2 linked regions of the Astyanax mexicanus genome follow. The protein of the gene in region 1 binds, or shares a complex with, the protein of each later gene. Links are inferred from orthologs where the notes say so. Each region holds a gene or a part of one and is shown on either strand. Other genes may lie near its edges.

The links. Proteins that work in one complex are often made in the same cells at the same time.
Region 2: casp8 (region 1) and ripk3 share a complex: the UniProt entries of both Homo sapiens proteins name them as parts of the AIM2 PANoptosome complex. The link is inferred for Astyanax mexicanus from reciprocal best matches to the Homo sapiens genes CASP8 and RIPK3.

What each region holds. Positions count from the first base shown.
Region 1 is NC_064412.1:41,337,049-41,344,647, forward strand, and holds the start of casp8 (caspase-8), read left to right. Parts: upstream 1-4,595; 5' UTR 4,596-4,654; coding exon 4,655-4,929; intron 4,930-5,176; coding exon 5,177-5,276; intron 5,277-7,599. Other genes in the region: ciliogenesis-associated TTC17-interacting protein, read left to right, coding at 903-979, 1,313-1,401, 1,964-2,146. UniProt on the Homo sapiens protein: Thiol protease that plays a key role in programmed cell death by acting as a molecular switch for apoptosis, necroptosis and pyroptosis, and is required to prevent tissue damage during embryonic development and adulthood.
Region 2 is NC_064432.1:21,542,431-21,549,943, forward strand, and holds the start of ripk3 (receptor-interacting serine/threonine-protein kinase 3), read left to right. Parts: upstream 1-4,503; 5' UTR 4,504-4,564; intron 4,565-4,574; exon of another isoform or gene 4,575-4,648; 5' UTR 4,649-4,781; intron 4,782-5,893; 5' UTR 5,894-5,906; coding exon 5,907-6,064; intron 6,065-6,778; coding exon 6,779-7,100; intron 7,101-7,513. Other genes in the region: protein KHNYN, read right to left, coding at 679-918. UniProt on the Homo sapiens protein: Serine/threonine-protein kinase that activates necroptosis and apoptosis, two parallel forms of cell death. Necroptosis, a programmed cell death process in response to death-inducing TNF-alpha family members, is triggered by RIPK3 following activation by ZBP1.

The DNA of each region.
Region 1 (7,599 bases):
ATAATTTGAGTACAACGCTTTGATGTCATCAGTAAGATAAAAGCTATATTTTTTATCTGAAACTATAATACCTGCCTATTTGTAGGTGTTATGTAGGTGAAAATGATAGGTTATGGTAAGTTATATGTATACAATGTTATATTGTAAACCTACAGAAATTCTGCCAAAAACAATAAACATATGTGGAAAAAATTTCGAATGAGAAGTGATACTACTGAGAAACACAGCCACCTATAGTGGAGTTTAGTAGCCTGATGTGCCTCTGCTGATTAGTAGAGATGGCACAGTCAGTTTGAGTTCAGTTTAACACTTTCTTTATTATATATAATATATATATATATATATATATATATATATATATATATAATACAGTGCCTCAAATGTTCTCTACTGAACAGTTGAGCAGAAGTTAAAGAGTTAGAGCGATTTTCAAAATGGAGTAATAGAGATTGTATATACAAGCTGCTAAAGTAAATCTCAGAAGATAGTATAATTCTTACACTTTTCTAAAACTGAAAAAGGCACTTACAATTCTTTTATTAAATAGCTAAATTAAACATTTGTTATTATTTTGGTTTCATATATAGAAAAATGAAATAATAAAGTTTGGGTGGAGTAATATGCCCTGCCTCTTACTTAACACCCTATAAATACCATCTACATAGCTTACCTAGCTTTGGCACCTCTACAAATAAAAAATTAAATAAAAAACTAAATTGTAATGGAGAATCACTCATGTATTTAAAGAATATTGAGTTGTTGTTCTTTTGTGCGACTTCTACATAAGGAGCAGGTTCTGTTGGTGTCTGATTAAACACTAGAAAAAATAAAGCTATATTGCTTTATTATAAACACAGCACTATACACCATATTAACTTATTGTTCACTTTTTCTAAGTGTAGCCATTTAGCCAGCAGAGTACAGCTGGGCTCTCCAGTTACTATGAACCTCTTGCAGCTCCCTCCCATAGCAAATAAAGGTCTGTAAATATAAAACATTATCTCCTTGTTTGTTTTTTTTCCTTTGTTTGTTATTTTAATAATTTTAGTAGTTGCTTATGTATTACGTAAGTTACACTGTTGTTGCTATTTTACTTTTTATTGCTTTTATGATTTCCTTGCATTAGAATCCTACTCTTGCATTTAACTATTTTATGTATATTTGTCATTATCTTATTTTTTTATTTAATTAAGTGCTGGCATTTTCTTTATCAATGTTATTGGCTTGGCTACATTGTAAATGAGGGCCAAATAAAGGGTTTAAATAAAGGTGGGTTGAGACCTCACCACACTGTGACATGTTCATTTTCTAGAGGAGAGAGACCAGAAGCCAGTGTTTGAGAAGAAGCCCCTGGTCTGGGAGGAAGATATGGAGCTCCACTCAAAGTTTCTTGACAGAAAGGTGTCAAATCATCATATTGATCTCATTTTGTTTTTCTTTGTTTCTACACCAATTATCCATTTTTTTAGCTTCACTCATTATATAGGACACATTGTAGTTCTATAATTACAGAGTGTATCCCTTCTGTTACTCTGCATATTTTATTATCCTCCTATTATCTTCCTCCAACACATTGCAGCTGTGATTTGTGTGGTGGGTCATTCTTGCACCATCCTGTGGACGGTGTCACTGCAGTGCTTAGAAAGACCCACCACCCAAATAACAGCTGCTTTCTGGTGGTCTTGTGGGGTCCTGACCATTAAAGAACAGGGTGAAAGGAGGATAATATATTATGCAGACAAACAGATACAGGACAACAGTCTGTAATTATAGAACTATAAAGTTTCCTATATGATCAGTGGAGCTGATGGAAGGACAGTGAGCGTAGAAACAAGGATGCGGTTGTAATATTCTGACTCTGGACTGTGTATATTCTACATAATACAATGTATTGAGATGTTATACACCAAGTAACACATTCTGCATATTTCTCGTCTTGCTCCACATATTCTCCATATTGCAGGAAGAGCTGAAAGCAGGCCACTCCTCTTATGTTAGAGATCATCCTGAGCTGAAGACGCTGCTGGCGGATTTTATGCAGTTCCTGCTGTTAAGGAAACCTCAGGATGTTTTCTCCTTTGCTCAAGACTTCTTTGCTCCCTTTGACTTTCAGCGCCCACCAGACAGCAGCTTCAAGACTTCTTGAACCATAAAGTTTTTTAAAGTAGCTTTACTGGAAGAAAAAAAAACTCATAACCTGTCAGGCCTTTATCCTGTGTGATGAGTAATTTTAATAAAGAGTTTCCATTTTGTGCTAGGTTTAACATTTTTTTGATGTGTTTTATTTTTTATATCCTATGGGATATATAACCAAAAAAATAACATTTATTTATTATAATTATTTATTATATTTTGTGTTTGTTAGAATCAAATGTTAATGTTTACATTTTTTAGGAACCTAAAGGCTAGAGCTAAGCAATATAGTAAAAAATGGTATCACGATAATTAAACATGTTTCAAAATACACACTGTTTATCACCATGTTTTGACATGCAGACAAAATGCTTCAACTGCAGATTATTATTTTATTTATTTTTTTTTTTTATATTATTTATTAAAAATAAAAAAAAACTCAGGCATAGCACCTTAATATACATTCAGTTTCTCACCATCCAATTAAACAAGACTAATTATACTCAGTCATAAAAAAATACAGTTGGGTCAGTGTTTAAGCTCTGAAGATATGCGTGATGTTGGTTTAAAAAATGTATCTCTGTATGATTAACATTTTTTCATAATGCCCTTCTCTACTAAAAGCATGTAATGTGGTGTGTGAAATCGGGACTTTTAATTTGAATTAAGTCCTCTAACCATTCTAATGGCTTAACCCAAACTGATTTTGTTAAAAGATTTTTCCCTATTAAATTCATGTAATCCATGTAAATTCAGATTGATAAGACAAAATAATAATAATAATAATAATAATAATAATAATAATAATAATAATAATAATAATTTGTTGAAATTAATGAAAACTTAGCTTCTCTATACTGCACCAAACGGAAAATAATAATTTAATTTTTACAGTTAATTTTCTATTTTCACGTTTAGCCTCAGAAACTGTAACTGCTTAATGTTACAATGATCCACGTGTGATCGAAACAGGTCCAACTCTGACCACAAACAGCGTCATTAATTTCTTTAGTTTAGTTAAATTACAGCAAACTAAGTTACACAAGTAACTCAGAAGCGAGTGCGTCACTGCGGGGTTTCCACTCCCTGTTCGGTTGTTTTAACTCTTTATTAGCCTCGGGATCTTATCGAAACTGAAAGTTGTGTCGGTCGGTGTGGAGTAATGTAGCCAGGTCTGATCTTCTCCGAGTAAACTAACAGATAGAAACGCTGTTTCTGGGGTTTTAACTGTGAGTGAACGTTGGCATCGCCACGAACTTCCGGATAAGGACCAGAGTGACCAGTGTCTAAATGTGAAGGTAAGAAATAATATAGAATTTCGCTTAGCGTTATTACAAACTTTCTGTAACTAGCAGCCAGGCCGGGTGTTCTGTCGAATTTGGCTACATTGCCCAAATGTGCTACTCTGCTGTATTGACAGACAACGCTGCCTAAATAAAGCAGTGGGTGGAATATTTTGGATGGACTGAAAGTATCATATCAGAAAATGCTCCCAGCTGAGGTATAAGATAAATATTTACTATTTATTTAACTATATAGTTATTTAATAACTATTTCAGGGTAATAAATACGAGAGGACTGATATTTTTTTTAAGTTTGAATCGCAATTTACACTTTTGTAACATTCTGCATTAGTAAATGTAAGCTAAAATTGTGAAAAAGTCCGAGGAAATCATAGACTGTGTATAGCGAGGAAATGGATCAGAAAGAATGGTAATGTAAAAAAAACGTTTTGGGTCTGCACATGCGCAGAACAGCTAAATAGCTCTTATCGTGGGGTAACGCAACTCGACAGAACACCGGAAGTGTAAACATAAGGCTAACTAACGCTAGCTAGATAGATGGTATACAACTCGAGGCAGGATTAAATTCCAACAGCGCTGTAGTTTATCTAATGTGTCGCTGATCCGGGCGGGTTAACACCGATTCTGTGCTCGATATTTCAGTGTCTGTAGAGCTGAAGTCTTTGGTCTGTGTTTAGCTTGGCGCTAATGTTAAAGTTACCGTAGCTGCGTCTGCTGTTTTTACCTTTTTCACAGTAGGTAAATTCAGCTCAGCTGGTAATTCAGGGAAAACATTCTGTAACAGGTGGATGGTTCATCCAAAAAAAAATAAATAAATAAAATAATAATGTTCCCCTAATCCCTAAGAGCCTGACCATGATCATTTTTCATATATATTCATATATATCATTATAATATTGGTATGCATGCATGTATGTATGTGTTTGTATGTATGAACTTTTAAACAAAACTAAAGAAATGTATTTTGTATTGTTGCGTTACATAGGTACATACCCATAAGTAAATGAAACATATGTAAAATTAATTTAAAAACTTCAGTGATAGTGCACTAGGGAAGGGTGGGAGGGGTTGCAAACCCTGGTGTCTTCGTGGTTGAAAAAGTATTGATAAAAGAGACAGTATGTTCTATTGGTGACTTTTCTTGTGATCAGTCTTTTACCGTCCACAGTCAAAATAGGCACAGCAAGTTTCCAGATCAGGTCCGTTTCTTGCCCAGTATGGAACTCAATACACTTCACATTATAGATGAGGAGCTGACAAAGAGTGAAGTGGCTGCCTTAAAGTTTCTGTGCTCAGATGTTATTTCTCGCAAGCGTCTGGAGAACGTGAAGGATGCCAAGGACCTGTTCCTGCGTCTGAGAGAACAGGCCCTGCTGGATGATCCTCGCTTCCTTGCTGAGTTGCTTTATACCATCCGTCGCAATGACCTGCTGACATTTCTGGGCACCAATAAAAGAGAGGTCAACAGGTGGCTTGCGATTTCTCCGTACAGGTAAAGGTTATCAGGTATTTGTTAGGGTCTGGAGCTATAATGCAATCGTATTAGTTATATAAATAAATCTGTACTTTAGTCAGTTTATTTTTTGTTTTGTTTTGAAAATTCAGATGTTATGTTTGAGCTCCCTGCTGTTGTATTATGATTAATGATTGCCAACTGACTGGATATTAAGGATAGTTTCTGAGATTTCTTCTTCTCATAGAAATCATGTATTCACATTACCAACACATGCTTCCTGTAGGAAGATGCTGTATAAACTGTCTGAAGATGTAACGGCTGAAAATCTGCGTGCCATAAAGTTCCTTTTGGATGGGTTGCCCAAAGCAAAGCTGCAGGACGCTGTGAGTATAGAGGTCTCCAGCAACATAAAACCCCTCATACAGCTCATTTGTTGTTTCTTTTGAAGTTTATTTTACTTATGTTGCAGTATCTCTTTGGGTGGGTGATATGCCTGCGTCTTAAAGGGAATGACTACTGGCACATTGATCACGTTACACACCCATGAACAATTAAAAGATTTAGAACACGCCTCTTGCGCTGTTGGAGCTACGCAAGGCCTACACAATACCAAAGACAACGGACACGCCCCTAAATCCAGCGGCGCAAAGTGCACTTAACTAGTTCACTATAGGTCGCTAAAATAGGGCCCTAAATGTAAATGAACAGTTTTAAACATTCAGTAGAAACAAAAATATCTGTAAACATTTACAGTGAGTCCAAGAAGTATTTGATCCCTTGCTGATTTTCTTCGTTGGCCCACTAATAAAGACATGATCATTCTATACTTTTAATGGTAGATGTATTCTTACATGGAGAGACAGAATATTAAAAAGAAAATCCAGAAAATAAATCTAAGGAATATATATTAATTGATTTGTATTTCATGGAGTGAAATAAGTATTTGATCCCTTAGTATTCATTAGCAGTTCTGGCTTTTACAGACCAGTTAGACACTCCCAATCAACTTGTTACCTGACCTGAAGCCACCTGTTCTCACTAATCACTTGTGTGAAAAACACCTGTCCACAGAATCAGACAGATCACACAGATTTCAAGTCTCCAACATGGGTAAAACCAAAGAGCTGTCACAGGACCTCAGAGTCAGAATTGTTGACCTTCACAAAGCTGGAATGGGCTACAAAAAGATTAATAAGGTGTTGGATGTGAAAGTAACAACTATTGGTGCAATTATCAGAAAGTTTAAAGAGTATAACATGACAATCAACAGACCTCGGCCCGGTGCTCCAAAGAAGATTTCGCCTCGTGGGGTGGCAATGATGCTGAGAACGGTCAGAAATCGTCCTGCAACCACTCGGCAGGAGTTAGCAAATGACCTGAAGGCAGCTGGGACCACAGTTTGCAAGGAAACAATTGGCAACACTTTGCGTAACAATGGATTCACATCCTGCAGTGCCTGAAAGGTACCCCTGCTGAAGAGAGCACATGTGGAGGCACGCCTCAAGTATGCCAATGATCATTTGAAAGATGAACCAAGTTATTGGGAGAAGGTTTTGTGGTCAGACGAGACCAAAATTGAACTTTTTGGCCTCAACTCCACCCGCCATGTGTGGAGGAAGAAAAATGCCGCCTATGACCCCAAGAACACTGTGCCCACCGTCAAGCATGGAGGTGGAAGCATAATGTTTTGGGTGTGTTTCTCTGCCAAGGGTACAGGGCTACTTCACCGCATCACTGGGAAGATGGATGGAGCCATGTACCGCACAATCCTGAGGGACAACCTCCTCCCCTCTGCCAGGGATCTGAAAATGGGCCGTGGTTGGGTCTTCCAACATGATAACGACCCTAAACATACAGCAAAGGATTGGCTCAAGAAAAATCACATTAAGGTCATGGAGTGGCCCAGCCAGTCGCCAGACCTCAATCCGATCGAAAATCTATGGAGGGAGCTGAAGGTCAGAGTTGCCAAGCGACAGCCCACCAACCTTCATGATTTAGAGAGGATCTGCAAAGAAGAGTGGGCCAAAATTCCCCCTGGTGTGTGTGCTAAACTTGTGGTTAACTACAACAAACGTCTCACCGCTGTGCTTGCAAACAAAGGCTTTGCCACTAAGTATTGAGTGTGTTTGGCAAGAGGGATCAAATACTTATTTTCCTCATTGAAATACAAATTAATTAAAATATATTCTTTAAAATTATATTCTGGATTTTTGTCTTGATATTCTGTCTCTCCATGTTAGAATATATCTACCATTAAAAGTGCAGAAGGATAGTGTCTTTTTATTAGTGGGCAAACAAAGAAAATCAGCAAGGGATCAAATACTTCTTGGACTCACTGTATCTGTTTCGACAGAAACTTATATAAAGATTAACACAATTATATAAAAATACCCTTATAGCTTTAAAGTAAATATCAAAAGTAATGCAAACAAAGGCTGCTTTTAAAACAGAATACTGCTATTAACACAGTTATAAAACAGTTCAGCTGCTACACAGAGCAATGCTGGGAGTTTTATATCCCTCTAGCCCATGCCTTGCATTAGGCATGGTGCCAATAGGTTCATGTTTATCTACTCTAGTCTACTCTAGTCTAACTATTTTATTTTATTATTTTATTGACAACACTTGCCTACAGGCACTAGACGAGCTGTGCGTGTGTGGATGCATTCACATTAGAAGAGGAGTTCACAAATATTTAGCCATATA
Region 2 (7,513 bases), on another chromosome or scaffold:
CTACAATTTGGGAGTTTTTTCTTTGGATTTTTTTTTTCAGACCATTCAACAAGCTGATTATCTAAAACACCACTGCTTTATCATGATGACTCAATGTGACCTACATAACGTTGCTCAAAGGCAACAAATGAAAAAAACCTTGTTGTAGTAAGCTTACAACAAGAAAGCAGGAATATAGTAAGAAAATAAATACACTTTTTTACATGTTTGCCCACTTATATGCCTTATTGTACTGGGGATAGATATTGTAGTCTTGTAACATTGTATTAAAAGTAAAATAAATACATAATGAACAAGATCAGCAGACTTAGCAGACTTAAATTTAGGATTTTATTTTTTTAAAGTTGTAAATATAACAATATATACCTCTGGAATATAATCAAGAGGAAGATGGATGATCACAAGCCATCAAACCAAGCTGAACTGATTGAATTTTTGCTGCAGGAGTGGCATAAAGTTATCCAAAAGCAGTGTGTAAGACTGGTGGAGGAGTGCCATGAAAGATGTATGAAAACTGTGATTAAAAACCAAAGTTATTCCACCAAATATTGACATTCCTTACTTAACCTACCAGTACACGCTCTGCTGGGTTATCAAGTCTGAGAAATCTGTTAAATTTCTACACATGGAAGAACATTTTAGGATCATCCTGCATAATCATAACAAGCAAAACCCCACCTTTGCTGCCTCCACGTCTCTCTTTCTTCCTTTAAGCTGCAGCCAAATCTGTCCATCCTGAGCTGTGTATGAATTCTCCTCCCCACCGATTCTCAACACCACCCCGAACACTCGCTCCACTGTGGGTTTCAGGTCCTGCAGAGCTCCCCGTAACACCCCAGGGCAGGTGAACTCATCCTCCACGTGCTGCTGCTCTCCTTCCATCCTATCCAGCCTTCCAGAGACAGCAGACAGAGCCATGACCAAGCGCTACAGCAGGAGACGATGTTCTGGATTTACTGGAGTGTGTAAAAAAAAGAAAAGAGAGACAAAATCAGAGAAAAAGAGAACATCACTCTTTTCAAACTGTTTTATAATAACTAAATACAAACACAGTTGGAGGGCCTGAGATTACAAATGGACAACATGCCAATTGATAGTTTAGTTGAGTTTATGAAGTCATACAAATCCATATCAACACTAATATAAATAGCCAATATGCTACACAACAACATGCTAGCCAACAAACTTGGTTTTGTCGGTCATGCTGGTCAACCAGCTTGGTCCTATAGGTCATACTAGCTAACAATCCTGGTCTTGTTGTTCATACTGGTCAACAAATTGTCTTGTTGGTCATAGTGGTCAACCAGCTTGGTTCTACTGGTTATGGTAGCCAACAAGCTTGGTCTTGCGGGTCATAATGGTCAACAAACTTGGTCATGCTGGTCATGCTAGTCAACAAGCTTGGTCATGTTGTTCATAATAGTCACTAAGCTTGGTTTTGTTGGTCATAATGATAATGATAATGATGTTATAATGATCAACCAGATTGGTCTGGCTGGCCATGTTGGTCAACAAACTTGGTTTTGTTGTTCTTAATGGTCAACACATTTTGATTGTTGGTCATAATGGTCAGCTGACTGGGCAAGCTATCCAACAAGCTTGGTCTTGTTTATCAAACAGCTTGGTCTGACTGGTCAAGCTAGCCAACAAGCTTGGTCTTGTTCATAATGGTCAATCAGCTTGGTCTTATTGGTCATGTTAGCTAGCAAGATTGGTCCTACTGGTTATGGCTGCCAACAAGCTTTGGTCTTTCTGATCATGATGGTCTACAGACTTGGTCCTGTTCCAACAAACTTGGTCTTGTAGGTCATAATGGTCAACAAACATGGATCACGTTGATTATAATGGTCAACAAACAGGGACAAACCAGCTTAATCATGCTAGTCAACAAGCTTGTCTTGTTGGACATAGTGGTCAACTAGCTTGGTCATGTTGGACATAGCGGTCAACCAGCTTGGTTTTGTTGGTCATAATGGTTAACCAGCTTGGTGAAGCTTCGTTGTACCAGTTGTCTAGCTTGGCCAGGTTCCTACACACCCTCCACTGGTCAAAGCTAAACTGATCTTCCAGTTTGAGCTGGCTATAGCTACTATAGAAGATAACATGTAGATATGAAGATATGATGTAATATATCAGGATAACGTTTAAATAACGTCATTTTGCCCACTTTTTTGACCAGTGGACACAGACACAACACATCCAGCCATAAAAATAATGAATTAAAGGATATTAGATGATTATCTCACCATGATCATGTGTTTAGACGGTATAGATCACCTGCTGGCTGTAGGTTTCGGTTACAGCTCTGCTGCTGGTGCTTCAGTCTTCCGCACTTTTACCCAGAACAGCAGATCTATCGCTCCAGATCAAATTTCAGCTCGGTCCAGTCCAGCAGAACCGGATCTCAGGAGAAGAACCGGCTCTGTTCTGTGTGATCCGGCGGTTCTGAAGCTTAATCCACTATTGTAAATGTATAAAAGTCCGTGTTCAGGCTGTAGGGGGTTATTATTGTTGACAAAATGAAACTTGGGGAACTCACAGTGGGCGGAGCCACAGGGCGGGGCGTCTGTACCGTAATGACCGTATATACGCGCCCCGCAATAACAGCGCTAAACCCAAAGCCTCCATTTCTAATTATAGACAATACTATGATAAATATCCTCCACCTGATACAGCGCACAGAACCATCCGGGCTAAAGAAACAAATTTACACCAAAATAACCGTCAAAATAAGAGTAAAACAGGGGTTTTGATGTAAACTACAAAAGGAGGTATTTGGATCTGCGCATGCGCCCAACAAACTGCCAGGGAAATTCCTCTGACGCACAACATTTCCTTCATGGTGGAGCAGAAAAGGCAAACTCTGACGATGTGGAAATTACTTATATTTATATATAGCAAAACCATACCAGGGTCAATATATAATATTTAATATACAGCTCTGGAAAAAATTAAGATCATTTCAGTTTGGATTCATATTGTGGGGAGACGGAATATATATATATATATATATATATATATATATATATATATATATATATATATATATATATATATATATATATATATATATATATAAAATTGGAAAAACTAATAAAAATCTAAATAAATTTTTTACTATACCAAAAAGGACAATATTAAATCATGTTTGATTTAGGCCTTAAATAGTCAGAAGATTAAAGTAATAAACATACACCGACCAAATATCAATATAACCATTAATTGTTATATGTAAATTTGCTCTGAATTAACAGATTAACACATATACACATATAGAGGAATAAATTTAACCTTCACTTTCTTCTTTTTATACAGTTTTCTGTTACGGGGAAGTGGTGTCTTTGCCATGGTTACAGTGCTGTCTGGGTAAGTTAAATAAATTAAATGAAAACCTCTTTTTAAAATACATTTTCTTAAAGTTTAGAAGATATATATTTAAAAAATAATAATAATTCTAATAATTCTATGGAAGCCCATTTTTTAGCTCTTGTACGATATGTTTCTTTTGATTGTTTTTCTTTGTTACAGACCCGTTTTGTGTGTGTGTGTGTGTTTTTTTTACTACTCTCTTGCCTTGCCCTCGTAGTTTTTTTGTCTGCTGTGGACATCTCCAGATATTCCATCAATCAACATGTGATTGACACTGGTATCAAACCTTCTCCTATTGGAAAAAAATTACTTTTGAAATTCACAATAAGCCCTATCCAAACGGAATTAGTTTCTCATGGGGTCCTGGGGTAATTTTGTCAATTTTTTTATTCCCATCCAGAACGACCAAGATTCAAGATTCAAGATTTTTATTGGCACGTCACAGAGTACAGGTGTACATGTGAGTGAAAAACTTGGGTGCAGATTCCCACCAGAGAACAATATTTACAAGAATAATCATAGAATAAAATATAATATAAAATAAGATATACCAATACCTTTACAGTATAAACCATGTGTGTGTTTTTCTCAGACGTCCTCTGAGAAAATTACAGGCTGAATTATCTACAGTTTTTCGCTGAACTCTGTGGTCCTCCAGTAATTTTAGTCCCGTCCGGATTTACATCTCTGAGTTTTGTCTCCTTGGGTTTAATAAAACAGCTATTTGTCCACTGCCACACACTGTATTTAAACTTTCGGCACACATTTCCACGGAAATCCACGTAAACCCAACAGCAAGTGAAAATAGAGGAGCTACTGAACGTGATGTTGTGTAACTGAGAAAGCCTAAAAACTCACTGGTCCTCCTGTATTTTTTTATTTTATTTTAGTCAGGCTGCAAGAGTTTTTTACTGAGTAGGAGTGTGAAATATTTTTCTCAGACATCTCCGTGAGAAACTAATCCCGTCCGGATAGGGCTTTAGACACTAAAATTATGGTATTTTGTATAATATTTTACCTCCAACATCTCTACTTCCTCTCAAACACATTGAACATATGATTAACCGAATCCAGCCCAGGGTTTAGTCACAGTAGGAACAAAGCTCTGGAGTGGATTATCAGGATTAACCTCCACCTCTGGAGTAAAAGACAGGGCTTCACGTCACATTTCCCCCGTCTGTTTAAGGAAGTGAAAGTAATAAAGACTTTACTGCTGCTGTTTTCTGTCTTTCTGTCGCCATTTCAGTACATATTACTCATTTTAACCACTTTTACACAGGCTTTCCTTCAGCATGGACGGGATTTAAACTGCCCAGAAAGAGAGAGAGAGAGAAAGAGAGAGAGAGAGAGAGAGGAAGAGAGAAGCACTCTCTCTGGGGAGTTAAACTTTTTCCACCCGGACTATGTTTAAGGTAAATTCAGTGCTACATTTTTAACCGTATTTACTCTAATAATGTACGGTTTTGTTAAATATCACTGATTTAATAATGTATCAAAAACCTTTATGCTTATAATGTGTCAGATAGCCTCATATAGATTATCTACACATGCTGAAACTCTGGATTTTTAACATTACTAGGTTTAAGGTTAGGTTTAGGACCAAAAGTAAAGGTCAAATTTAGCCTTATGTTAAATTAATCCATCTTGGTTTTAGAGGCGGGTATGTTGGGCAAACTATAGTACCAGACATGCACCAAAGTAGAAGGGTAGCATATATTCATTGTTTTCTATACACTAGTAAGTTAAGCATATCTATAGTAAACCAGAAAAAAATATTATGTTGTTTTTAGTACACTGGTATGTTGAGTATTCCTATACTAGACCAGAAATAAATGTATATGTTATGTTTTGTACTCTGGTATGTTGAGTATACCTATAAAAAATAGAAAAAAACACTGGTGTGTTGTGTATGTAAAAAAATAAAAAGCTGTGAGCTTTTAGTATGTGAATTAAATGTTTTTTTACTGAGAATTATGCCATTTCTCACTGCAAGAGACTCCAAAATATCAAGATAATTCTTTCCATTCATTCCAAGATTAAAAAATAAATAACCAATTCACTCTCCGTTTTCTTACCAAAGATTATTCTTGGATTAAATGAGCTTTGATGTAATTTACAGATTCTTAATATACATTAATTCACAGAAAAGCAAGCTTTATTATTCTCTGGCTCCAATTTAATTATCATTCCTACGCTTCAATAAGATGAAGCCACGGATTAGGATCTCAATCCCATGCCTTAATAAGTTGTGGCCATGCATTTTTAATTTTTTTTACATGATGTCACCCTAGGGCCCCGTATATACCAATACCAAATCAGAATGTTGTGTTTTATACACTGAATTTTGAGTATATTAATACCAAACCAGAAAAAACAGGATATTTTGTGTTTTGTTGTGATATATGGGACATAATTGATATTGTGATATATTGTACAGTTTTGATTAGATATATCGCAATAACAATATTTTGTCACATCCCCTAGTTTATAATTCTAAAATTCTGTTTGCTTTAAAATGAAACAGATTCCCCTGAGAAATGGAACTTGCTAGCTGCTCACTACCTGCTGTGATTCACAATGACAGTTTGGACTTCTGGCAGCTGATTGGTTGTGGTGGATTCGGAAAGATCTTCAGAGCAAAGCATCTGAAACTACGATTGGACGTTGCCGTAAAGTTATTACGGTGTGATGACGGGTAAATCTCTTGTAGTCTCATGTAAATGTCTAAATATTAATTTTACTACCATTGCTGACATATATGTGTAAATGCACACTAGGGTTGCAGCTATCGATTACTTTTGTAATCGAGTACTCTACTGAAAAATATATCCAATTAATCGAGTAATCGGATAAAACATATTTGCTTGCCTAAAGAGCAATTAAAAATACAAGACATTTCACTTAATAATGAATGACCAATTGGTTTTATTTTTAAATTCACAAAATAAGAGTTTCTCATGAGTTTGCTTTTTTCCCTTGCCGCTTCTCAACTAAAACCTCCTCCTCCTTCTTCCTGTGTGTGGGTGACGTAACTCTTAAGTGTGTTGTGCCGCATTAAAAGTAGTTAGCACAAAATACCATGCCCTGAGTTTTTACATTAAATAAACGATTCCTTGAGTCACAGAAATATACTTGATCAATTTTTTTAAAGTAATTGTTTAAGTGTTTCACCCCTAATGCACACACATGGCTTAACTAGAGCCTGTAGAAGAGATGTAATGTCAATAGAATAGGACTCTGTATCTGAAGCAGATAATTAAATATGAACCTATTGTCTCTAGTGTGGGCTAAAGTGATATATATCTCTCAGTATTGAGCTTGTGTCCCAATGCATTTGTCCATAATATACTGTAGATACTGACTCTGCCTAATGAAAGATATGCCGTATGATCTCTATCCTGGTCTTCAGCTCCAACTCTACTCTCCTCCGGGAGGCAAACCTGATGCACCATGGTGGGAACCCCTACGTCCTGAGAATTCTGGGTGTGTATGAAGGGCAACCTGAGGGTGAAGAAGCCTCTCAGTTCGGTCTAGTGATGGAGTACATGGAGAGGGGCTCGCTGGTGGACCTCCAGAGGGCTCTAAACGGACCTCCTCCGTGGTCTCTCGCCTTCCGCATCGCCCACCAGATCGCTCTGGGCATGAACTTCCTTCACCAGCTGGATCCACCTCTTCTGCACCTGGACCTGAAGCCCAGCAACGTGCTGCTGGACGACAGCCTCAACGCCAAGGTAATGTTGAATTATCCTGGTTAGAACTGTACCTGCTGGCACCTCTAGCCTGGATAGCAGATTAGATACATGAGGTTAGACATGGAGGTGTACAGGATTAGTATGGCATCCAGCAGCACATTTACCCACCCTGCCTTAGCCATAACTGCATCTGTCTCTAAAGTTTGGTAGAGGGGGGATTATAGTGTGGGGTTGTTTATTAAAAGTTGTGCTCGTCCCCTTAGTTCCAATTAAAGAAACTTTTAATGCTTCAACATACCAAACGATTTCAGACAATTTTATTCTCCCAACTTTGTTGGAACAGTTTGAGGACGTTTTAACATGACTACGCACCAGTGCACAAAGCAAGGACCATTAAGGCATGGATGAGCGAGTTTGCTGTGGAAGAACTTAAAAAATTCATAAATTCCCAT